3 linked regions of the Anolis sagrei genome follow. The protein of the gene in region 1 interacts with the protein of each later gene in a biochemical or structural test. Links are inferred from orthologs where the notes say so. Each region holds a gene or a part of one and is shown in the gene's direction. Other genes may lie near its edges.

Region 1 (7,568 bases):
GCATATAATAAAAATAGCAATAGGTTTGAGTGATTTTACTTTTAAGTGTTACTATTTGCATTATGTGTTTTTGAAATTTCATTTTTTTTTTAAAAAAAGTGACATGTTCTGTGTTTTAAGGAGGAGGAGGAGGAGGAGGACGTTGTCCAGGGGAACGCCAGGATGTTTTGATGTTTAACCATCCTTGTGGGAGGCTTGGAGAGCTGGAGCTGACAGAGAGAGCTCAACCCACTCTCCCAGGGATTCGAACCTCTGACCTGTCAGTCAGCACTCCTGCTGGCACAAGGGTTTAACCCACTGCGCCGCCAGGGGCCCAGTAATAATAATAATAATACTCCTGACCTCACAAGTATGGATCGTCGATGTTGTAATCCCAGGCGACAGCAGGATTGAAGAGAAACAACTGGAAAAGCTGACACAAAACGAGGATTTAAAGATCAAACTGCAAAGACTGGCACAAGCCAGTCAAGGTGGTCCCACTGGTGATTGGCACACTGGGTGCAGTGCCTAAAGACCTTGGCCTGCACTTAAGCACAATTGGAGCTCACAAAATCATTATCTGCCATCTGCAAAAGGCCACCTTACTGGGATTAGCACACATTGTTCGCTGATAATATCACACAGTCCTAGACATTTGGATGATCCAATAAAACAGCCAGAAGAGCGATCTTGTTTGCTGTGTACTAATCTTGTGTTTCAATTAATTAATTAAGTAAGTAAGTAAGTAATGGTGGAACATTACCCTCATTAAATGATGTGGGTAATAAATACAATAAACGCAGCACCATAAAACACATACAATGCACATATGAAAACACATTACCATAAAATACATATATTAAAATATGTGGAACAAAGATTGAAATACAGTAGTAATAGGATTTGAAATTGACCAGGTATATAATTGTATTTATATGCTACTTTTCCTCTTTTAGAAGTGGCTCCAAGGCCCAGGCGGGATCCCTTCCTGCTCAAGAGCATTAAATGGTGTCTCTTCCCTCCTTTAAGGAGATGTCCTCAGGAGGCCGGACGATTACATAGCCTTCAGAATTAAAAATAGGCCGTTTCCTCCTTGTCCCGAGGATCAGCAGCAAAGCTCTGGCTGCTGGACCTCACGCTGCGAGATCAAAGATCAAATCAGGGGTCAAATCCTGCCTTCTCTGTGCCCTGAGAGGCACTTGAGGACATTCAATGGGACAAAAAGCAATCCCACAATAATAATAATAATAATAATAATAATAATAATAATAATAAATGACGAAATCATGATCTGCAAAAGGCCACCTTACTTGGATCTGCACGCCTCATTCGTAAATGCATCACACATTCCTAGACACATGGGAAGTGTTCGACTTGTGATTTTGTGACATGAAATCCAGCAAATAGATCTAATTTGCTGTTACATACTGTGTCAGTAAAATAATAATAATAATAATTTTGCAAAGACTTGGACAAGCCAGTAAATGTGATCTCAGTGGTGATTGGCACACTGGGTGCAGTGCCTAAAGACCTTGGCCTACACTTAAAAACAATCAGTGCTGACAAAATTACCATCTGTCAGCTGCAAAAGGCTACCCTACTTGGATCTGCATGCATTATTCGCTGATACATCACACAGTCCTAGACACTTGGGAAGGGTCCGACGTGTGATCCAATACAACAGCCAGCAGAGTGATCTTGTTGTGTTTCTAATAATAATAATGTTTACCTGTTAGGTAATGGTAAATGTTTTCCCTGACATTAAGTCCAGTTGTGTCCGACTCTGGGGAGTTGGTGCTCATCCCAATTTCTAAGCTGAAGAGCTGGTGTTGTCCGTAGACACTTCTAAAGTCATGTGGCCTGCATGACTGCATGGAGCACTGTTCCCTTCCTGCCGGAGCAGTACCTATTGATCTACTCACATTTGCATGTTTTCAAACTGCTAGGTTAGCAGAAGCTGGGGTTAACAGCGGGAGCTCACGCCGCTCCCCAGATTCGAACCTGTGACCTTTTGATCAGCAAGTTCAGCAGCTCGGTGCTTTAACCCACTGTGGCACCGGGGGTTTACCTGTTACCTGCTTGATATTGGCAACACCTAGTTCATATAAGCCAGTGGTTCTCAACCTGGGGGTCGGGACCCCTGAGGGGGTCACCAGGGGCTGTGAGAGGGGTCGCCAAAGCCCGTCAGGAAACACAGTATTTTCTGTTGGTCATGGGGGTTCTGTATAAGAAGTTTGGCCCAATTCTATACTTTGTAGGGTTCAGAATGCTCTTTAATTGAAGGTGAACTATAAATCCCACAACTGCAACTCCAAAATGCCAAGGTATATTTCCCCAAACTCCACCAGTGTTCACATTTGGGCATATTGAGTATTCATGTAGAGTTTGGTCCAGATCCACCATTGTTTGAGTCCACAGTGCTGTCTGGAGGTGAACTACAACTCCAGACTCAAGGTCAATGCCCACCAAACCCTTCCAATGTTTTCTGTTGGCCATGGGAGTTTTGTGTGCCAACAGGGGCGGCTCAACCATTACGCAAAGTAAGCATTTGCAGTATAGTTGATTTTGCCCAGGGGTGCTCTAGGGGGAAAATAGTCCTTGACATATGTGAGTTGTAGTTACTGGGATGTATAGTTCACCTACAATCAAAGAGCATTCTGAATTCCACCAATGATGGAATTGAACCAAATATGGCACACAGAACTCCCACGACAAACAGAAAATATATATCAGTGATTGGTTGGGGGGGGGGGGCAAATTACTGTTTGCTTACCATCCAAAATTACCTAGGGCGGCCTCTGTGTGCCAAGTTTGGTTCAATTCAATTATTGTTGGAGTTCAGATTGTAGGTGAACTATAAATCCCAACAACTCGAACGCCCAAATAACAAAATCAATCAATCCCCCCTCCTCCCAATCCCACCACTATTCAAATTTGGGCATGTCGGATATTTGTGCCAAATTGGATATAGTGAAAAAAACATCCTGCTTATCAGATAATTGCATTACCATTCATAACAGGAGCAAAATTACAGTTATGAAGTAGCAAAATAATGTTATGGTTGGGGGTCACCACAACATGAGGAACTGTATTAAGGGGTCGCAGCATTAGGAAGGTGGAGAAACACTGATATAAACAGATTAAACGTATTGTCGAAGGCTTTCATGGCTGGAATCACTAGGTTCTTGTGGGTTTTTTCGGGCTATTGGGCCATGTTCTAGAGGCATTTCTCCTGACGTTTCGCCTGCATCTATGGCAAGCATCCTCAGAGGTAGTGAGGTCTGTTGGAAATAGGACAATGGGTTTATATATCTGTGAAATGGCTGGGGTGGGGCAAGGAGCTCTTCCCTGCTGGAGCTAGGTGTGAATGTTTCAACTGACTACCTTCATTAGCATTTGAAGGCCTGGCTGAGCCTGGGAAAATCTTTTGTTGAGAGGTGTTAAGATGTGCCCGCGCCCCTTTACCTAGCCAGGCCCCGCCTCTTTCCTCTTGCTCCTCCCCATTCTGAATTAGCCCCTCCCATCTATTGTCCTCCTCTAGCATTACAGCCAATGAGGCTCCTTCCTCTTTTCCCTCCCTTGTCTTCTCCAGGAGACCACGCCCCTTTCTTATCGCCCCGCCTCCCAAAGGGTGAGGCTCCTCCCTCTTTCTCACCCCGCCTCCTTTCCCTCCCAGCCAATGGGTTTCCTCCTTAGTTGCCCCGCCCCTTTTCCTTTTTCGGTTGCCTCCCCTTCCAACTCAGGTCCCGCCTCTCCCTTCCTTAGCAGCCAATCGGACTCTGTGGCTGCGGCTCCTCCCCTTTTCTGTTCCCTCTCCTCCAACGCGGGCTTTGGGCTAGGCCCCGCCTCTCCCTTCAGTGGCACCCAATAGAGGCTGTGGCTCAAGCCCCGCCCCTTTAAGGTTCCCTCGTTTGACTAGGCCCCGCCTCTCCTTACTTGGCACCAATGGGACTTTGTAGCGGAGGCCCCGCCCCTTTTCTTTCCCCTCCATTCCAACGCGGGGGTTTAACTATGCCCCGTCTCTCTCTTCCTTGTCGCCCAATGGGACGGTGTGGATGAGGCCCCGCCCCTTTTCTCAGCCTTAGTTCCCTCCTCCTCCCGCCTCTCCCTCACTTGGGACTTTGTAGTGGAGGCCCCGCCCCTTTTCGTTCCCCTCCCCTCCAACTTTTAACTATGCCCCGCCTCTCTTTTCCTTGACATCCAATGGGACGCTTCGGATAAGGCCCCTCCCCTTTTCTCAGCCTGAGAGGCCACGCCTCTTTTGCCTCTCAGCCAATGGGCCATCTCCGAGGAGACCCCTCCCCTTTCTCCTGAGAGACGCCGGCTCAGTCTGAGTCGAGCTACGGCGGGAGAAGGACGCGCGACGCTCGGCTCCCCCGATGGCGGTGTGGACGCGGGCGTGCAAGGCCGGCCTGGTGGAGGTGCTGCTCCGCGAGCGCTGCTGGGTGCGGGCGCTGGCCGAGCTGAGCGGCGAGGCCTTGATCCTCAGCTCGGAGCCGGAGCCGCCGCTGAACGGCCTCCCGAACGGCTCCGAGTGGGGCAGCCCCGGAGTTGGGCGGCGCAGCGAGGCCGGGTCCAGCTCTCCGGAGCTGCGAGGGGCCGCCTCGGCTTCTCCGCCCTCCTCGCCGGGCTCCCCGCCGCTCCTGCCTTCTCCGCCGCCGGGGGTGCGCCGCGTGCGGGTGGTCAAGGCCGAGGCCGGCGGGCTGGGCATCAGCATCAAGGGCGGGCGCGAGAACCGCATGCCCGTGCTCATCTCGCGCATCTTCCCCGGGCTGGCAGCCGAGCGGAGCGGAGCTCTGCGCCTCGGGGACGCCATCCTCTCCGTCAACGGCGTCGACCTCCGGGAGGCCACCCACGACCAGGCCGTGCAGGCCCTCAAGCGCGCCGGGAGGGAGGTCCTCCTCGAAGGTGAGCCCCGAGAGCCGGCCTGGGACGACCTGGGCCTTCCCTTCGCGGGTTTGGGACTTCAGCTCCCACCATTCCTAACCAAACCCTCCCGACAGATGGCCAGCCAACCAGAGATGTCACTGAGATAGAGAGAGAGAGATGCTTTTCTCATAGAGGCACCCCAAAGGCCATCCAGTCCAGCCCACTTTTTCTGCCAGGCATCATCCAAACCCTCCCGACAGATGACCATCCAGCCAAAGATGTCGTTGTTATCCCCCAAGGAGCATCCAGTCCAAGCCCATTCTCCTATATTGGAAGACACCATACAAACCCTCCCAACAGATGGCCATCCAGCCAAAGATGTCATTGATATCCCCCAAGGGTCATCTAGTCCAAGCCCATTCTACTCTATAGGAAGACACCATACAAACCCTCCCGACAGATGGCCATTCAGCCAAAGATGTCGTTGATATCCCCCAAGGGGCATCCAGTCCAAACCCATTCATCTGTATAGGAAGACACTATACAAACCCTCCTGACAGATGGCCATCCAGCCAAAGATGTCATTGATATCCCCCAAGGGGCATCCAGTCCAAGCCCATTCTTCTATATAGGAAGACAACATACAAACCCTCCTGACAGATGGCCATCCAGCCAAAGATGTCATTGATATCCCCCAGGGATCATCCAGTCCAAGCCCATTCTACTCTATAGGAAGACACCATACAAACCCTCCCGACAGATGGCCATCCAGCCAAAGATGTCGTTGATATCCCCCAAGGGGCATCCAGTCCAAGCCCATTCTACTCTATAGAAAGACACCATGAAACCCCTCCGACAGATGGCCATCCAGTCAAGGATGTCATTGATATCCCCTAAGGATCATCCAGTCCAAGCCCATTCTACTCTATAGGAAGACACCATACAAACCCTCCCGACAGATGGCCATCCAGCCAAAGATGTCATTGATATCGCTCAAGGGTCATCCAGTCCAAGCCATTCATCTGTATAGGAAGACACCATACAAACCCTCCTGACAGATGGCCACTCAGCCAAAGATGTCATTGATATCCCCCAAGGGTCATCCAGTCCAAACCCATTCTCCTATATAGGAAGACAACATACAAACCCTCCCAACAGATGGCCATCTAGCCAAAGATGTCACTGAGTTGGATAGGGAGAGAGAGATGCTTATATCATACAGGCACCCCAAAGGCCATCCAGTCCAGCCCACTTTTTTTCTGCCAGGCATCATTCAAACCCCCCCCCCCCCCGACATATGGCCATCCACCCACAGATGTCATTGATGCATATGTATGTATGTGCGTGTACCCCCCAGTGGTCATCAAGGCCAAGCCCATTCTGCTCTATAGGAAGACACCGTCAAATCCCTCCCGACAGATGGCTATCCAGCCAAAGATGTCATTGATATCCCCCAAGGGTCATCCGTTCCAAGCCCGTTCTGCTATATAGGTAGAAACCATCCAAACCCTCTCAACAGATGGCCATCCAGCCACAGATGTAATTGAGATATGTGTGTGTGTATATATATATACACACATACACACACACCCCAGGGGTCATCAAGTCCAAACCCATACTGCTCTATAGGAAGATACTATCCAAATCCTCTCAGCAGATGGCCATCCAGCCACAGATGTAATTGAGATATGTATATATATATATATATATATATATATGTATGTATGTATACCCCCCCCCCAAGGGTCATCCAGTCCAAGCCCATTCCGCTGTATAGGAAGACACCATACAAACCCTCCCAACAGATGGCCATCAAGCCAAAGATGTCATTGATATCCCCCAAGGGTCATCCAGTCCAAGCCCATTCTCCTTTATTGGAAGACAACATACAAACTCTCCCGACAGGTGGCCATCCTGCCAAAGATGTGATACACACATATCACAATAACATCTTTGGCTGGATGGCCATCTGTTGGGAGTGTTTGTATGGTGTCTTCCTATACAGGAAAATTGGCTTGGACTGGATGACCCTTGGGGGATATCAATGACATCTGTGGCTGGTATGGCCATTTGTTGGAAGGGTTTGGATGATGCCTGGCAGAAAAAAAGTGGGCTGGACTGGATGGCCTTTGGGGTGCCTTTCCAACTCCAGCCAAAGATGTTATTGTGATATGTGTGTATCCCCCAAGAGTCATCAAGACTAAAGCCCATTCTGCTCTATAGGAAGACACCATCCAAACCCTCCCGATAGATGGCCATCCAGACAAAAATCCCTCTCTCTATATATATGTGTGTGTGTGTGTGTGTGTGTGTCCCAAGGGTCATCAAGTCCAAGCCCATTCTGTTATATAGGTAGACATTATCCAAACCCTCTCGAGAGATGGCCATCCAGCCACAGATGTAATTGATATATATCCCCAGGGGTCATCCAGTCCTGCTGTATAGGAAGACACCATCCAAACCCTCTTGACAGATGGCCACCCAGACAAAGATGTAATTGTGAGATATATCCCCAAGGGTCATCCAGTCCAAGCCCTCCCGATAGACAGTCATCCAAACCCTCCCGATAGACAGCCATCCAAACCCTCCCGATAGACAGCCATCCAACCCTAAGAGGGCCGTAGATTTGATTGCAAGAGAGATAGAGAGAGGCTAGAACAGGCCTGGGCCAACTTTGGCCCTCCAGGTGTTTTGGACTTTATCTAAAACTCCTGGAGGGC
Region 2 (7,980 bases), on another chromosome or scaffold:
CTTATTAGTATTTCAGTGGGAAGTGTGGCCCTGCTTTTGGTTGATGAGATAAGATCGTTGTTGTTGTGTGCTTTCAAGTCATTTGAGACTTAGGTTGACCCTGAGCAAGGGCCGGGTAAATGACCTTGGAGGGCCGCATCCGGCCCTCGGGCCTTAGTTTGAGGACCCCTGATCTAGAGAATTATAACTGCAACATATACTCCTCTGCTGTCACAATTGATCAATTAGCAGAACATCTGATTTGGCTTTTCTCCCAGTGCTGCATGTTTCTCAACTGATACTGAGATTAATCCTATACAAATGTCTTTTTGGGGATGGTTAGAATTACTTCGGGGTTGGTGTGTGGTTTGTTCTCTGCACGCTGCCATAAAACAGAAGGGCCTTAAGAGAAGAAGGATAAGAACAGGAGTCTGTATTGGCTGGTCTGTTGTTCCAATGAAGCAAGAAAATTGTGGGGCCTTATCTGGAATGGATGAATGGAATATATGAGTAAGGTGTGATTTGTGTCCCCCAGGAAGAGAGCTTCAGGCATCCATTATTACCCTTTTGAAGTATCAGGGCCATTGTGGCTGAAAATCAGAGCTCACACCCCCTCATCTTGCCATCTGTTAGCATATAGATTGTTGTCAGTTTTTTTTTATTTTTGATACTCCTCTAATTTTATGATGTTATTTTCTTATTTTGTATATTGTTTGCAGTGAGCTACAGTGAATCCTCTTGAATGGCTTTAGCGTGTGTATCCTTCACACTTGGATAATTAACTGAAAAGTTTTCCTTTTCCCATCCCACATTTCCTTTTCTGTTCTCCCCAAGATCAGCTTTCCGTTCACCTCCTGCTTTAATGGATCACACATTTTGGGAACCTTTAAGTGGGATTATTGGTTTGGAACCAAAAGATTCCTATAGCTAAACTCATTTCCTCACATGTTCTCTCAGAAGTTTCATTGACTGCAACAAGGTAAATGTATATTCCAATGGTCCTTAACTTGTGGGACTCCAGATGTTTTGGCCTTCAACTCCCAGAAATCCTAACAGCTGGTAAACTGGCTGGGATTTCTTGGAGTTGTAGGCCAAAACACCAAGGGACCCACAGGTTGAGAGCCACTGGGGTATAGTAATGAATTTGGGATCCATGGCTCCTGTATTCAAAATGCGCTTCTATTGATTTTTGCTTATATTTGGCAGAGAGAATGCAGTGATTTGATCAGAAAAATCTTCTGCATAGTCACTCAAAGCATTTCTAATTAAGAAGATTCCACCTTGGATTAATTGACAGTGCTTTGCAGCCAGACATTTGCAGTACATCAGTTTCCTCTCCCTGAAATTCATACGGTACATTATTCCATACTAACTTTTAAATATGTTCTTAATAGACACAGATAGGGGGCAGCATTGCTTTATTCATTACTAAAAGCGACAAAACTTGGAAAGTCACATTTTGCCAGCAACATGTAGTGTAAATGCCGAGAAGCTGAACATTCACCCCATATCTCCCACTTATTGAAGAAATTGAAGAAATGGCTTTCACAAATACTTTTGAGTCACAAACACCATTTTATTTATTGTTCCCTCTGGTGCAGAAGCTTTTTTCAATTGTCCACAGTTCAGTTAGGTGATCCCTTGTTATCTGAGTATGATGGCCTTCTAAATTCAGTGTCTTGGCGGTGGATACGTAGGGAACTGTGGAGCCCTATTTTTGACCTACATGTTTTGCAAAAGTGAGGACATCGGTTTCCAGATGGAAGGTGGCCCCAGTCAGGGTTGGCTTGACGCACCTTCCTCTTGGTACGTTTCTCCCTTTTGCCCTCCATTCGTGCCTCTTCAGATTCCGCAGCACTGCTGGTCACAGCTGACCTTCAGCTAGAGCACTCAAGGGCCAGAGCTTGCCAGTTCTTGGTGTCTATGCCACAGTTTTCAAGGTTATCTTCAAGCCCAACTTTAAATCTCTTTTCCTATCCACCAACATTCTGTTTTCCATTCTTGAGTTGGGAGTATAGTAACTGCTTTGGGAGATGGTGATTGGGCATTCGGACAACGTGGAGTTGATGGCATAGGAACATCATTTCAATGCTGGTGGTCTTTGCTTCTTCCAGCACACTGACATTTGTCTGCCTGTCTTCCCAATAGATTTGCAGGATTTTTCAGAGGCAATGCTGATGGAATTGTTAAGCGTGACATCTGTAGGCAGTCCACGTTTCACAGGATTGTCCACAATATCTGTGCACAAGATCCAGTCCCATTCCCCTAATGTTTTATTATACAGTATACTGAGGAATCTACAAATGTTTCACATGTTAGCCACTGTTTCTTTGTTGCAGAAAGTGAACTCTGGCTTCTTCATTTCCTGCTCCAGCAAAGTAATGCAAGGACACTCTCTACTCACCACCCAGTAAGGGACTTTTACAAGGAAGTGTGTATAATTGCAGGAATCCCTTCCTTACCGATTATTCCACAGGCCCAGCATCCTATTGGACATGGAGCCTTACCTCATTTTGAAAGAGGTATTCTCTTTCCCTCTGCTGCCCAGTATCTATTCCATGCCTTCCAACATTTAACAGATGAAATCTGGGACACAAGTGGCAATCAACCATCAATGTGTGGTCAAGATAGCAAAAGTTAGTAATGAGGAAGATCAGGCAAACTAGGAGAGACTGTTGCAGTGTGCTTTTGTCTGAACCTCCAGAAGAGGTCAAGATTCTGCCACCTCCAATAATAGTAGTAATAATAGTAGTAAGATTTTTTTGGTGTCAGGAGTGACTTGAATAGTAGTAAGATTTTTTTTGTGTCATGAGTGACTTGGCACAAAAAAAGAGGGCCAATTCTCTCACAGTAGTCGTCGCAATAATAGTTGTTGTTGTAGTAGTAATAGTAATAATAATAATAATGTATATATTGCTTTATTTCTCTAAAAAGAAACCCACAACTGCTAACAACACTAAGATCAATACAACAATCCTCTTATCACTTTCCCATTTGAAGGAAAATTAAGCATCTTAGGTCTGGCTCTGCCTCTTACCTGTGTGCTGCAATCTCTGTTTTGCCTGGTGGAACAGAGACTCACGCTATGTACACCTCCCCAATAGCACCCTCACATTCGGAAGGCAGCAGGCTTCAAACTCGTGAATAATTGAAACTATGAATGTAAAACCGGTGAAAATTGAGGGCCAACTGTGTTGTCTATCTATTGTTATAGTGAAGTGATTAACAAAAGAGCTTAATAACAAGCACTCAAATATATTTTAGACACTGCAATAACAGCATCCTACTGGCATCCAAAACAAGCATGTGAGAAATGTTGTCTGTGGGCTTTTAAATCATCTAGGCATGCGTTCCATGTTGACACAAGCCAAGGTCTTGACTCAAGTGATAATGCCTGGGTTTTTGCACATGTGTGCTTACAGTCAGGGGCAGGGTATTCTAGGAAGCAATGTGTTGCTTGCTGTATTTGTTTATGTGTGATCGCTGAGAGCCAGCATAGTGTAATGCAGTGTTACTTAACCTGTGGGCCTACAACTCCCAGAAATCTCAGCCAGTTTACCAGCTGTTAGGATTTCTGGGAGTTGAAGGCCAAAACATCTGGGGACCCATAGGTTGAGAACCACTGGTGTAATGGTTTGAGCTTTGGACTATGACTCTGGAGAACAGTGTTGAAATCAAGTTTGGTCCAGGTTCGTCACCCGTGCTGGTCACAGTGGCCTATGAAAGTGAGAGCCAATCAGAAAGCTGCCAAATTAATCTCCCACACATACAGAAATACATACAAACACTGACTTTTATTATAGACTAGTTTGGGGACCCGGCGCTGCCTGGGTTATTTGAGAAAGGCATTGTGTGGCAAAGGTGTTCTTTATCAGTTAGTGAAGGTACTGTGAATCCCATCGAGCATGGTCCATCCTCCTCCAAACAGCCCCTGAATGTAGAGTGGGTTATGGTAGCTCTGTGTGCCAAGTTCGATCTTACTCTGTCATTGGTGAGGGTCACAGTGATCTCATGAAGTGTGTGAAGGTACTGCAGGTCCCATCATCCATGGTGAATCCTCCTTCATACCACAACAGGATGTAGAGTGGATCATGGGGGCTGCAGTGTTCTGTGGAAACCGAAGGGTTGGAAAGTACTACACATCCCATCATCCATTGTCTGTCCTCCCCCAAACCTCACCAGGAACTAAAGGGGGTCATGGGGGTTATGTGTGCCAAGTTTGGTCTTCATCGGATGAGGGTCGCAGTGGTCTTGGGAAATGTGTGGAGGTACTTGAAGTCCCATTATCCATGATTCGCCCTCCTCCAAACTACAGTAGGAAGTAGATTGGGTCATGGGGGCTCTGTGTGCCAAGTTTGGCCTTTATTGGTCTTTGTTGGGAGCCACAGTGGTCTCTGGAAACCGAAGGAGTTGAAAGTACTACAAATCCATCATCCTTTGCAGTCCACATCGTAAGTGAGAGAACATATTTGTTATAATTAAGGGAGTAGGAAGGAGAAAGATAGAATAAAAAGAAAAAGAAAAGACCCGGAAAAAAGAAGAAAAAAATAACAATAGGAATAAAAATAAAAAGTCTTCTTTCATGTCCCCACATGGGAAGCTGGAGCTGACAGAGGGAGCTCAACCCGCTTCTCCCTGGATTCGATCCTGCCAGCACAAGGGTGTAACCCATTGGGGGCACCAGGGGCTCCTGCCCATGCCTGCTCTGCTGTTTTTCCCAGCCTCTCTGTCCCGACTCTTCAACCGGGCTCCTTGCATGCAGTACGCGCTTGCGGCCGGCAGGTGGCGCGGGCGGCTTGCTTTTTCCGGCGCCTCTTTCCTTCCTGCCTGCCTGCCTTCTTTGCTTGGGCGCCGTTGCGAGGAGGCAGCTCCCCGGACAGCTAAGCGGGGTCCTCGGGCGCTTGCTGGCTGGCTGGCTTGCTTACCTTGGTGCCTGCTGACACTTCCTGCGCGGCTCAGTCGGCGGAGGAGGCTCGCCGGGGATGTGTGTCCCGCCGCCGCGCCTCCCCCACCGGCGACCGTTGAGGCTCCTGAGGCGGGTGGCCCATGGGCCCCGGAGGGCGGAGGGGGAAGGGGAAGGGGAGGCTGGCCCTGGGCCCGCGGAGGGCATCATGACTCCGGCCAGGTGAGAGCGGGGCGGATGGAGCCCCCGGAGAGCGGCTTTGGCGGCGGGGCTGCTGCTCCTTCTGCTGCTGCTGCTCCTGCTGGAGGCGCCTCCTCGTCCTCCGCCGCCTCCGCCACCTGCCCCAGCTCCCCGTCCTCGGCCAGCTCCGAGACCTCCTTGTGCCCCGAGCCGGAGAGAGCGCCCGCCTTGGGAAGGAGGCACAGCAAGAAGCGCTTCGGGCTCAAGATCTTCGGGAGGAGGTGAGCCCAGCAGGGAGAGGCGGCGTGGCCATCTGCCGGGAGTGCTCTCCCCACAGGCCGCCACGGGAGTTGTAGGCTTGCAGGATCTTTCCTGTAAAAAGACAGGATGCATCTACGCCAGGAATAGGCAAACTTCGACTCTCCAAGTGTTTAGGACTTCAGTCCCCACACAGAGAGGCGGAGATGGCCATCTGTCAGGAGTGCTTTGCTTGTGAGTTCCACTCCCCACAGGTGGTGGCAGGAATTGTTGTATTCCAGGATCTTAAAAAAAACCCCACAGGAATAGGTTAACTTCGGCTCTCCCGGTGTTTAGAACTTCTGTCCCCGCACAGAGGCGGGATGGCCATCTGTCAGGAGTGCTTTGCTTGTGTGTTCCACTCCCCACAGGTGGCCACAGGAATTGTAGTCTTGCAGAATCTTTCTTTTAAAACTCAGTATGCATCTAACACCAGGAATAGGCAAACTTCGGGTCCCCAGGTGTTTTGGACTTCCAACTCCTACACAGAGAGGAGGGATGGCCATCTGCCGGGAGTGCTTTGCTTGTGCGTTCCACTCACCACAGGCGGCCACAAGAGTTATAGTTTGGCAGCGTCTTTTTTAAAAAAAACACAGGATGTATCTACACCAGGAATAGGCAAACTTCGGCTCTCCAGGTGTTTTGGACTTCAGTTCCCAAACAGAGAGGCAGGATGGCCATCTGTCAGGAGTGCTTTGGTTGTGAGATCCACTCCCCATAGGTGGCCACAGGAGTTGTAGTCTTGCAGGGTCTTTTTAAAAAACACACACACAGGATGCACCTACACCAGGAATAGGCAAACTTCAGCTCTCCAGGTGTTTTGGACTGCAACTCCCACACAGACAGGCGGGATGACTATCCCTCGGGAGTGCTTTGCTTGTGCGTTCCACTCTCCACAGGCGGCCACAGGAGTTGTAGTCTTGCAGGATCTTAAAAAAAAAAAAACAGGATGCATCTACACCAGGAATAGGCAAACTTCGGCTCTCCAGGTGTTTTGGACCTCAACTCCCACAATTCCTAACATCTCCCCTAATATTATAATATATTGTGTACACATATAATATTGAAAATAATATCATACAATATAATGCTGATAATAATACAGTATAATAATTATATATGTTAATATTATTACAGTACAGTAGTATAGTACAATATAGTAATATATAATACTAATATTGTGCTGTGCTAATAATGTAATATATTGTATGTACATATTACTTGTAAGCCGCTCTGAGTCCCCTTTGGGGTGAGAAGGGCGGCATATAAATGTTGAAAGTAAATAAATAAATAATCCTCCATCATTGACCATGCTGGCCGAGGCCTCCTGAGTGTTGAAGTCCAAAATATTTTGAGAGAGAGGGAAAAAAAGGACTTTTATTCTCCAAATCTTTCGGACTTTGGCACTTGGGGGCCTCGGCCAGCACTGTGGGAGATGTAGTCTGTACTCTTTGCAGAGCCAAAGATTTGCCACCCAAGATTTGCCACCCAATCCTAGAGAGAACTCAAAGGTGGAGAAGTAGGTGCTGTGAGTTCTGTTTTGCCAAACAGCAGAAGGGAGGCTCCCCAAAGCAAAATAATACACTGGAGTGTGAAGAGATGCTGTCCACGTGTTCCTTAAGACTGTCCATAAAATTGTATACAGAATATATAAGAACTATATTTACATTACATGTGAGAAATGAAATCTTGCGAACTGAATATTGTACACTGTTATTTTATTGTACCTCAGAGCTCTTTTGTGGTCCACCCTGCACATCATCAAGCCTTGGGAAATGGAGCAGGAAATCATTGTTACTCTAAAGGATTCACAATCTTGTCTGTAATCACAACATGGCTTCTAAGCCAGTGGTAACAGATGTCGGGCTTGTGGGGCTTTGTAATTTCATTGTTTTTGCCATGTAGAACTGGGTTAGGGAATAAATTGAAACACTTATTTTCATTGGCAGTCCTTTCACATGCGTACACAGGCCCGGCATTGCTGGCTATTTGCAATAGGAAGTCTTGCGATATTGTCTGGTCTGGGCATATTTCACAAATTTACACAAGAACTCAAATTATATCAACATGTGAAGAGAAGCAGGAAGTTCTCACGGACCCCATATGTGTTGCTTTTGGGACTATTTTACCAGGCCAACATGGCTACTGATACAAATAATAATCATAATAATCCCAGGTGACAGCAAAATTGACGAGAAGCAACTTGAAAAGCTTACACAATATGAGGATTTAAAGATCAAACTGCAAAGACTCTGGCACAAGCCAGTAAAGTTGGTCCCACTAGTGAATGGCACACTGGGTGCAGTGCCTAAAGACCTTGGCCTGCACTTAAAAACAATCAGCACTGACAAAATCATCATCTGTCACCTGCAAAAGGCCACCCTACTTGGATCTGCATGGATTATTTGCTGATACATCACACAGTCCTAGATGCTTGGGAAGTGTTTGACGTGTGATCCAATACAAAAGCCAGCATAGTGATCTTATTTTCTGTGTATTAATCTTGTTATGTATCCAATAATAATAATAACAACAACAACTTTATTTGTAACCTGCCCTATCTCCCCAAGGGCCTCAGGGCGGTTTCCAAACAATGTGGCAAACGTTACATACACATTTAC
Region 3 (8,113 bases), on another chromosome or scaffold:
AATGTTCTCTCATTCTCCTTTTCCAAATGAATTCAAACACTTTGTATTTTCTTTTTTAGTTCCATTTTTGCTTTCCAAGGGTCACAGGGATTTGTCCCTCCCCTTAAGAGTTCTTGTTATTAATGATTTTCTATATTGAAGTTGGAATGAGACAAAAACAGTTTTGGTGTGATGTCGGATAATAGTTTTTATTCATTTTAATATGAAACAGCAAAAAATACAACAGTCTTTCATAACTTGTAGCTTTTTTAGGTGTTTTGGACTACAGTTTCTTTTGTCCACATCCATCAGATTGTGCAAACCTAACATACCCATTTTGAAATGTGAATAGCTTTATTCTTGTATTATACAAAATGAGTAAATTCTTGTTAAAGCCATAGTATTGCTCCCTTGCTTTTACTTTTGTCCTTAAATGAACTCATAAAATTCATGTGAAAAATGGCCAAGGAACAATGAGGAGACAGTCAAGAAAGACTCCATCATTCATCACAAATTGATAGAATACATTTTTGGGAGTTTGAGATAGGGTGATCTGGTGGGATTCAGGTATCTTGACCTACAATTCCCATAATCCCCAGGCTGTAGTTTCTGGTCAGGGATTATGAGAGCATTAATGTAGGTTGTTTACACTGGTTTACAGACATGGCCAAACTTCGGCCCTTCGGGTCTTTTGGACTTCAACTCCCAGTAATCCCAGGCAGTTTACCAGCTGTTAGAAATTATGTGAGTTGAAGTCCAAAACACCTGGAGGGCCAAAATTTGCCCATGCCTGGTTTGGGGTGTCCTACATAATTTCTTGGCCTCATGTAATCCGCCCCAAGTCCCCTCGGGGAGATGATGACGGGGTATAAAGTTTTATTATTATTATTATTATTATTATTATTATTATTTCTGGATATCGGAAGCCATATTTGAAGTTGGCTGTTGGTAGGCTACTGTGTTGGTTTATTTCTTCATTACATTTATATCCAACTGTTTTGTTTTCCAAATTGCTCAGAGTGGGGAATATAGTTCTCTCAAGTTTTACTCTAAAACCTTGTGAGGCAGATGGGACTAAGAAATGGCTTAGCACCTGCTGAGTGGGTGGGTATTTCCAACCTCTTAGATCCACTGAGGAGAGGACAAACCATGTGGAATAACTAAATATGAAACCCATCATCTCTTTTTTAAATTGAAATGCCTTGCTCCTTTCCTTAAAATGGTTTTCTCTGGGTTATTTAGGTATGTAGGAGGAGAAGTGGGCTGTGAAATAAGGCATGCATCTTCACTATACAATCCAGGGCTTATTTATTTATTTCATGTCAAAAGCATTGCATAAATAAAAGATGGGGTTTCCCCTTGACATTAAGTCTAGTCTTGTCCAACTCTGGGGAGTGATGCTTATCTCCATTTCTAAGCCAAAGAGCCGGCATTGTCCATAAATGCTTCCAAGGTCATGTGGTCGGCATGGAGCGCTGTTAACTTCCCGCCGGAGCTGTGCCTATTGATCTTACATTTGCTTGTTTTCGAACCATTAGGTTGGCAAACGCTGGAGCTAACGGCAGGAGCTCACTCCACTCCACGGTTTCAAACCACCGACCTTTTGGTCAGCAAGTTCAGCAGCTCATAAAGCTGATGAAATAAAGGGAGCACTAGCAGCTAAATAATTTTAGACCAAAAACACACAACAGCAACCTCATTGTCTGTAGTTTTAAACAGTTCTTCCTCTGTACATGAGGCAGGACATTGTGGGCAAGCATACATATGCAGTTATTTGTTCTGCTTCACAGTCACACAAGATGGAGGATTCTTCTAGATAGTGCCATTTTGCCAGCTTGTCTTTTGATCTAACAACTCCACTTCTGAGTCTGTTCAGGGACTTCCAAGTGGCCCATTCTTGGTTTGCCCCTGGAGGAAGACCCTCGCGGGGTGCCATCCAGTTGGGATTGCCTGGTTTAGCTGCCCAGAAGGATAGTCTTCCTGTTGCTGGAGGAACATACAGAGGAGTGATGGTTCTCATGAAACTTTCCCTTGATTTAAGACTACCGGGAATAGGTTGATAGCCATGCAGTGGTTTGCTTTCTCAGTGTTCAACCTTATTTCTCTCGCAATTAGGAACAACTTCCAGTCACACATTGGGGGCGGGGCAATGCCAGCTAGCTTGAAGAGCAAGCACAAGCAAACTTTGGCCCCCCGGGTGTTTTGGACTCCAACTTCCACAACTCCTAACAGTCTCGGGCCCTTTCCTTTTCCCCCTCAGCTGCTTAAGCGGCTGAGGAGGGAAAGAAAGGGGCCTGAGGCTGTTAGGAATTGTGGGAGTTGGAGTCCAAAACACCTGGAGAGCCAAAGTTTGCCCATGCCTGTTGTAGAGTCTATGAACAGGTGAAGGTTTAAGATATCCTGTGATTATTCTACATATCTCATTCAGTGCTAGATTCACCTGCTTCACATGGGGCAGGCATACTCAGCAGTTGAGTAAGACAAGGCCAGGACTGAGGAATAAGTAGTACTCTAAAAGTTGTTGGTCTGTTACATCATTGATCGGACCCATTGTAGTAAATGGTGTGGGGGTTGTCGTCATTTAGTTCTGCTGCAAGTAGTCTTCTCATTTATCTACCCAACATTTAAGCAAATTTTGCTTGATGTTGCACAATGTATCTAAGCTGAATATGTTAATCTCTTGGGGAAAAGATTTGACTTTAAAAGTAAAGGTAAAGGTTTTCCCCTGACATTAAGTCTAGTCATGTCTGACTCTGGGTGGTGATGCTCATCTCCATTTCTAAGCTGAAGAGCCAGCGTTGTCCATAGACACCTCCAAGGTCATGTGGCCGGCATGACTGCATGGAAGGCCGTTACCTTCTCACTATTGATCTACTCACATTTGCATGTTTTCGAACTGCTAGGTTGGTAGAAGCTGGGGGTAACACTCACCCTGCTCCCCGGATTCGAACTGCCAATCTTTCAGTCAGGAAGTTCAGCAGATCAGTGGTTTTAAGCCGCTGTGCCACCAGGGGGCCCTTTAAAAGGTTTTATTAATTTGCATGCATTTTGTTGTTGTTCATTTGTTTAGTCGTCTCCGACTCTTCGTGACCTCATGGACCAGCCCACGCCAGAGCTCCCTGTTGGCCGTCACCACCCCCAGCTCCTTCAAGGTCAGTCCAGTCACTTCAAGGATGCTATCCATCCATCTTGCCCTTGGTCGGCCCCTCTTCCTTTTGCCTTCCACTTTCCCCAGCATAATTGTCTTCTCTAGGCTTTGCTGTCTCCTCATGATGTGGCCAGAGTACTTCAACTTTGTCTCTAGTATCCTTCCCTCCAATGAGCAGTCGGGCTTTATTTCCTGGAGGATGGACTGGTTGGATCTTCTCACAGTCCAAGGCACTCTCAGAACCTTCCTCCAACACCACAGTTCAAAAGCATCTATCTTTCTTCACTCAGCCTTCCCTAAGGTCCAGCTCTCACACCCGTAGGTTACTACAGGGAATACCATGGCTTTGACTAGGCGGATCTTTGTTGCCAGTGTGATGTCTCTACTCTTTACTATTCTATTGAGACTGGACATTGCTCTCCTCCCAAGAAGTAAGCGTCTTCTGATTTCCTGGCCACAGTCTGCATCTGCAGTAATCTTTGCACCTAGAAATACAAAGTCTGTTAGTATAGGACAAATCTGTGTCTGAAAACACAAGAAAAATGTGATGCAGGTGTTCTAGATTGTTCCCTATGGGAAACTCAGCGTATGGGTACAGCTACACTGTAGAATTGATGCAGTTTGATCCTACTTTAATGACTATGTCTCAAAGCTGTGGAATTGGTGTAGACTGGTGAGGCACCCGAACTCATTGGCAGGGAGGGGCAAAGCCCTTGGAAAACTACAACTCCCAGGATTCTATAGCACTGTAGTGAAAAGGGTTTCAAAGTGCATCAGTTCTACAGTGTGACTGCCCTTTATGCCAATCCTAACGGAGCAAGCTTGCTTCGATATTGCCCACTGAGTAGGCATCCTTCAGATATTCACCAGCCTTAAAAAGAACTCGAGTGTGGAAGGAAGCAATCCGCTCTGGGGAGGCGGGGGAGGCTGCCTTGGCTGCCTTGGAAGCAACAGCGAGCAGTCCTCGCTTCCTCGCCATCGACGTCCAAGAGGGGAAAAAAAAGGGAGGCGGAAGTCGGATGTGGGCTGAATGGGAGCTGCGTAATCCGGAGGGGCTGTCGATTTAGAAGGGGCTATTTTGGGGAACGTCGTGGAGGAAGTTTCAATGGAAAGCGGCCAAAACCTTGAGCTGGACTCGGTGCCTATTTGCGGGGGGTGGGATTGCAACCGCCTCGCTGCGCCCTGATTGGCGGGGAAACCGATCAGTCAGCAAGAGGTGTGCCAGCCAAGGAAGCATCTACACACTGGAGAATGAATGCAGTTTGAGACCCATTGTATTTACAATGGCTCAGTGCTATGGAATAATGGGAGTTGGAGTTTGCTGGGAGAAGGCTTGTAAAACTAAGATCCTAGACCCAAAGCGGTTAAGCCACAATATTATGTGGATGCGGAGGGCCTAATGCAGAGCCTGAAGCAGGGGCGGGGCTCTCTCTCTCTCTTTTGGGGAGGGGGGGCTGGGGGGAAAGGGGCGTGGTTACGAGGCGCGCGGCCGTAGAGTCTACGGACGGAGGCGTGTCCTTTCCAGGCGCCGTGATAGGCTGTTCCAGTCCCGGGTCTACTTTGCATGTGGCTCGCGATTGGCCGGCTGGGAGGGAGGGAGGCGGTGGGCGCGCGCTCCAGGGCAGGCGAGCGTCTCGCGGCCGGTCTGGAGGGGGCGTCGCGTGCCAGGTTTGAGCCATGGTGCAGCTGCAGCAGCAGCAGCAGCAAAAGGAAGAGCAGCAGCCTGGGCGATCGTGGAGGAGGCGGCGGCTGCCCGGGCTGTGAGCATCGGAGGGCACCTCCACCAGCCGGGATGGGGCGGGGGTGGCAGCCGAGTCTGCCCCGGGCTCTGGGTCGCCTCCTCCTCTTGCTGCTGCTCCCGCCACCGCCGGCATTGTCAGCCCTTGGGGATCGCCCCTTGCAAGTGCTGCACGGTAAGACTCGGGGTGCTCGAAATTGAGGGGCTTTTGAGGTCTCACCGTGACTGCCTCTGCTGTGCTGCTGCTTTCTGGGGGGCCTTCCACCCAGCCCTATATCCCAGAATATCAGGGCAGATAATGTGGGATTTCCTGCCTTGATATTCTGGGATATAGGGCTGGGTGGAAGGGCCCTAGGTTGGCATAGGGATGGTAACAGCGGTCCTTTGGCTCCTTCGGTCCCATATGGTAAGGTGCAGCTTGCTCTGCAAAGCGCTGGCTTGGTTTCTTTTTCGTTCCCTCCATCCAAATCAACTCTCTTCTCTTTGGAAAAATCATCCTTTCCAAAGCAAGGTATCCCAACGTCAATCAGTGGGCTTCCATGGCTGAATCGTGGTCTCCCATTGCCTTGGGGGGGGGGGGGGGGGTGGGGGTCGTCTACACTGTATGATGAATGCAGTTTGGCCCCACTTGCAATGCCGTGGCCCCCTAATACGCCCAGGGGCGGCTCAACCCATTACGCAAAGTAAGCATTTGCAGTATAGTTGATTTTGCCCAGGGGCGCTCTTGAGGCAATCTTGGGGGAAAATAGACCTTGACATATGCAAGTTGTAGTTACTGGGATGTATAGTTCACCTACAATCAAAGAGCATTCTGAACTCGACCAATGATGGAATTGAACCAAATATGACACACAGAACTCCCACGATGAACAGAAAATATATATCAGTGATTGGTTGGGGGGGGGGGGGCGCCAAAATACTATTTGCTTACCGTTGTAAGTTCTCTAGGGCCGCCTCTGAATACGCCCACCTTCTGCAAAGGCTGTCTGTCCCCGTTGCCCTTTCATCGGAGAGCTTTGAGTGCTTCCAAACCATGCAGTACCTGCCAGTAAGTCCTACATCACTTGGAAAGACGAAACAGGACCCTCTCAATAGGTCCTGCATCACTTTTCTGGGAAAGATCCACCTCCTCTACGCCCCACTCGCCCACAAATATGGGTTGTGCCCCGTGTTACCCTTCCCTTTCTCCTTTTTGCTCCCTGAAAATCCCTCCCCTTCCAATGCCATAGAAGGGTGGGTGGCAAGCTCTTTTCCCTTCTTGGAAATGTAGCACATGCTCCTCTTCTTCCTTGGCCTAACTCTCGCCTTTTTGTGTGTCCCCGATTGAGGATCCAACCCCCTCTGGAGTGATATTGTCACCATTTTGCGTGGCAGCCCAAGATGCTAACGTCACAGCCTTATCAGGGTCGCCTAGCTCCCTCTTTCTCTCCTTCTCTGCTTTTTCTTTCCCGCCCCCTTTTTTACTTCCAGAGTGGATCTCTCCATCTCCCTTTTTCCCTCCCCCTTCCATGTTTTCCTTATTAATTCAGTCCCTGACGTCATGCTTTTGCTGGGCCTTTTTCTCCATCTTCCTTGCTTTCCCGTTTCCAGCTTTTGAGCCAGCTGCCTGTTGCAAATGTCAGCTGCACCCTTCCTGCTTTAACTGGGCTTCCTTTTTCTATTAATGCTGGGATTCCTTCTAGCAATGAGCATTGATGTTTCTTCCATCTTTCCCCCTCACCACACCCCTCATTCCCAACTGAAAGCCCACACAAAGTGGTGAGGAAGTGCATCCCAGTATCCTTCCTGGCTCTGCTTATGGTTTTCTGCTTCCTTGTTTGCAGAATTAATCTCTAAGTCAGTTTTGTGAGACCGCAGCTGGAATTGGCACAGTTGGTTCAATAAGGCTCTTTGTTTGGCTGCTCTCAGATTGGGGCAATTATTTGGTCCTTCAGATTGTGTTGGACTGCATCTTCCATCAGCCCCAGCCCAGGATAGCCAGCGATGAGGAGTGTTGGGAGGTGCAGTTCAGCAACATCTGGAGGACCTTGCTTGGCTCATACTTGTCCTATACTCTTGGGTTGTGTAATTCAGCACTAAACCAGGCATGCAATTGAAGAAGATGGATGGATAATAACGTCTTACATAGACTTCAGAATTCAAGTAACTAGAACTATCAAACAGCCACAAAAAAGAAGTAATGTAGTGCTTTAAGTAAAATACTGTGTTTATAATATAGTAAAACTGTGTTACATTAAATTCGGCTTGTCTTTATTTGCTTTTAATTATTGCAATATTAATATTAAGTCGATATAGTAAAACTGTGTTATATTAAATTCAGTTTGTCTTTATTCGCTTTTAATTATTGCATTTCAATATTAATATCAAGTTGATATGAAGTTTATAGTATAGGATATAGTATCAGTTAGGGCTGTTTTTAATAGTAACTCTCAAGCAACCAGAAACTATTTTTGTCTGGCATCTACCAATTCACATGGGTGCCAGTTAACTGACAGTCCACTGTAAAAAAAAAAACTGTTATAAAAGGTTTTCATGGCCGGAATCACTGGGTTGCTGTGAGTTTTCGGGGCTGTATTTTTATTTATTTTTATTTATTTATTTGGTATGCTTGTATACCGCTAATATCTCAGCCTGTGCGGCGACTCATTGCGGTTTACAACATGTTAAAATATACAATTCATTTAAGCATATAAAATTAAAATAAAAATACATACAAAAAACATACACAGTATTGGGCCACCAATACAGATCGGGACATCTCATAGTTAAAATCATCATCCAATTCGTTATCTTGATTGCTAATCCATGGTCAGATAAAACATCACATCGAAGGTCAATTGAAGACTTGCTCAAACATCCAGGTTTTTAGTTTTTTCCTAAATGCCATTAGCGAGGTGGCTGATCTTAATTCAGTAGGGAGGGCATTCCAAAGCCGGGGGGCCACCACAGAAAAGGCCCTATCTCTCGTTCCCACGAGCCGCACCTGTGAAGCAGGTGGGATAGAGAGAAGGGCTTCTCCTGAAGATCTAAGGGTCCTGGTGGGCTGATAGGCCGAGATACGTTCGGATAGGTATGTAGGGCCAGAACCGTTTAGGGCTTTAAAGGTCAAAACCAGCACTTTGAATTGGGCTCGGTAGCTAATCGGTAGCCAGTGAAGCTGGTACAGCAGAGGAGTTGTGTGCTCCCTGCGTCCAGCCCCTGTTAATACCATGGCTGCCGCCCGTTGGACTAGTTGGAGCTTCCGGGCC

The links. The genes of interacting proteins can lie anywhere in the genome.
Region 2: the proteins of SNTB2 (region 1) and DGKZ form a complex in vitro, tested with the Homo sapiens proteins (2 studies listed by BioGRID and IntAct, with this or other methods). The link is inferred for Anolis sagrei from reciprocal best matches to the Homo sapiens genes SNTB2 and DGKZ.
Region 3: the proteins of SNTB2 (region 1) and PTPRN form a complex in vitro, tested with the Homo sapiens proteins (2 studies listed by BioGRID and IntAct). The link is inferred for Anolis sagrei from reciprocal best matches to the Homo sapiens genes SNTB2 and PTPRN.

What each region holds. Positions count from the first base shown.
Region 1 is NC_090028.1:28,608,113-28,615,680, forward strand, and holds the start of SNTB2 (beta-2-syntrophin), read left to right. Parts: upstream 1-4,315; 5' UTR 4,316-4,358; coding exon 4,359-4,887; intron 4,888-7,568. UniProt on the Homo sapiens protein: Adapter protein that binds to and probably organizes the subcellular localization of a variety of membrane proteins. May link various receptors to the actin cytoskeleton and the dystrophin glycoprotein complex.
Region 2 is NC_090021.1:278,501,681-278,509,660, forward strand, and holds the start of DGKZ (diacylglycerol kinase zeta), read left to right. Parts: upstream 1-4,546; 5' UTR 4,547-4,561; coding exon 4,562-5,343; intron 5,344-7,980. UniProt on the Homo sapiens protein: Diacylglycerol kinase that converts diacylglycerol/DAG into phosphatidic acid/phosphatidate/PA and regulates the respective levels of these two bioactive lipids.
Region 3 is NC_090021.1:230,539,697-230,547,809, reverse strand, and holds the start of PTPRN (receptor-type tyrosine-protein phosphatase-like N), read left to right. Parts: upstream 1-4,679; 5' UTR 4,680-4,691; coding exon 4,692-5,040; intron 5,041-8,113. UniProt on the Homo sapiens protein: Plays a role in vesicle-mediated secretory processes. Required for normal accumulation of secretory vesicles in hippocampus, pituitary and pancreatic islets.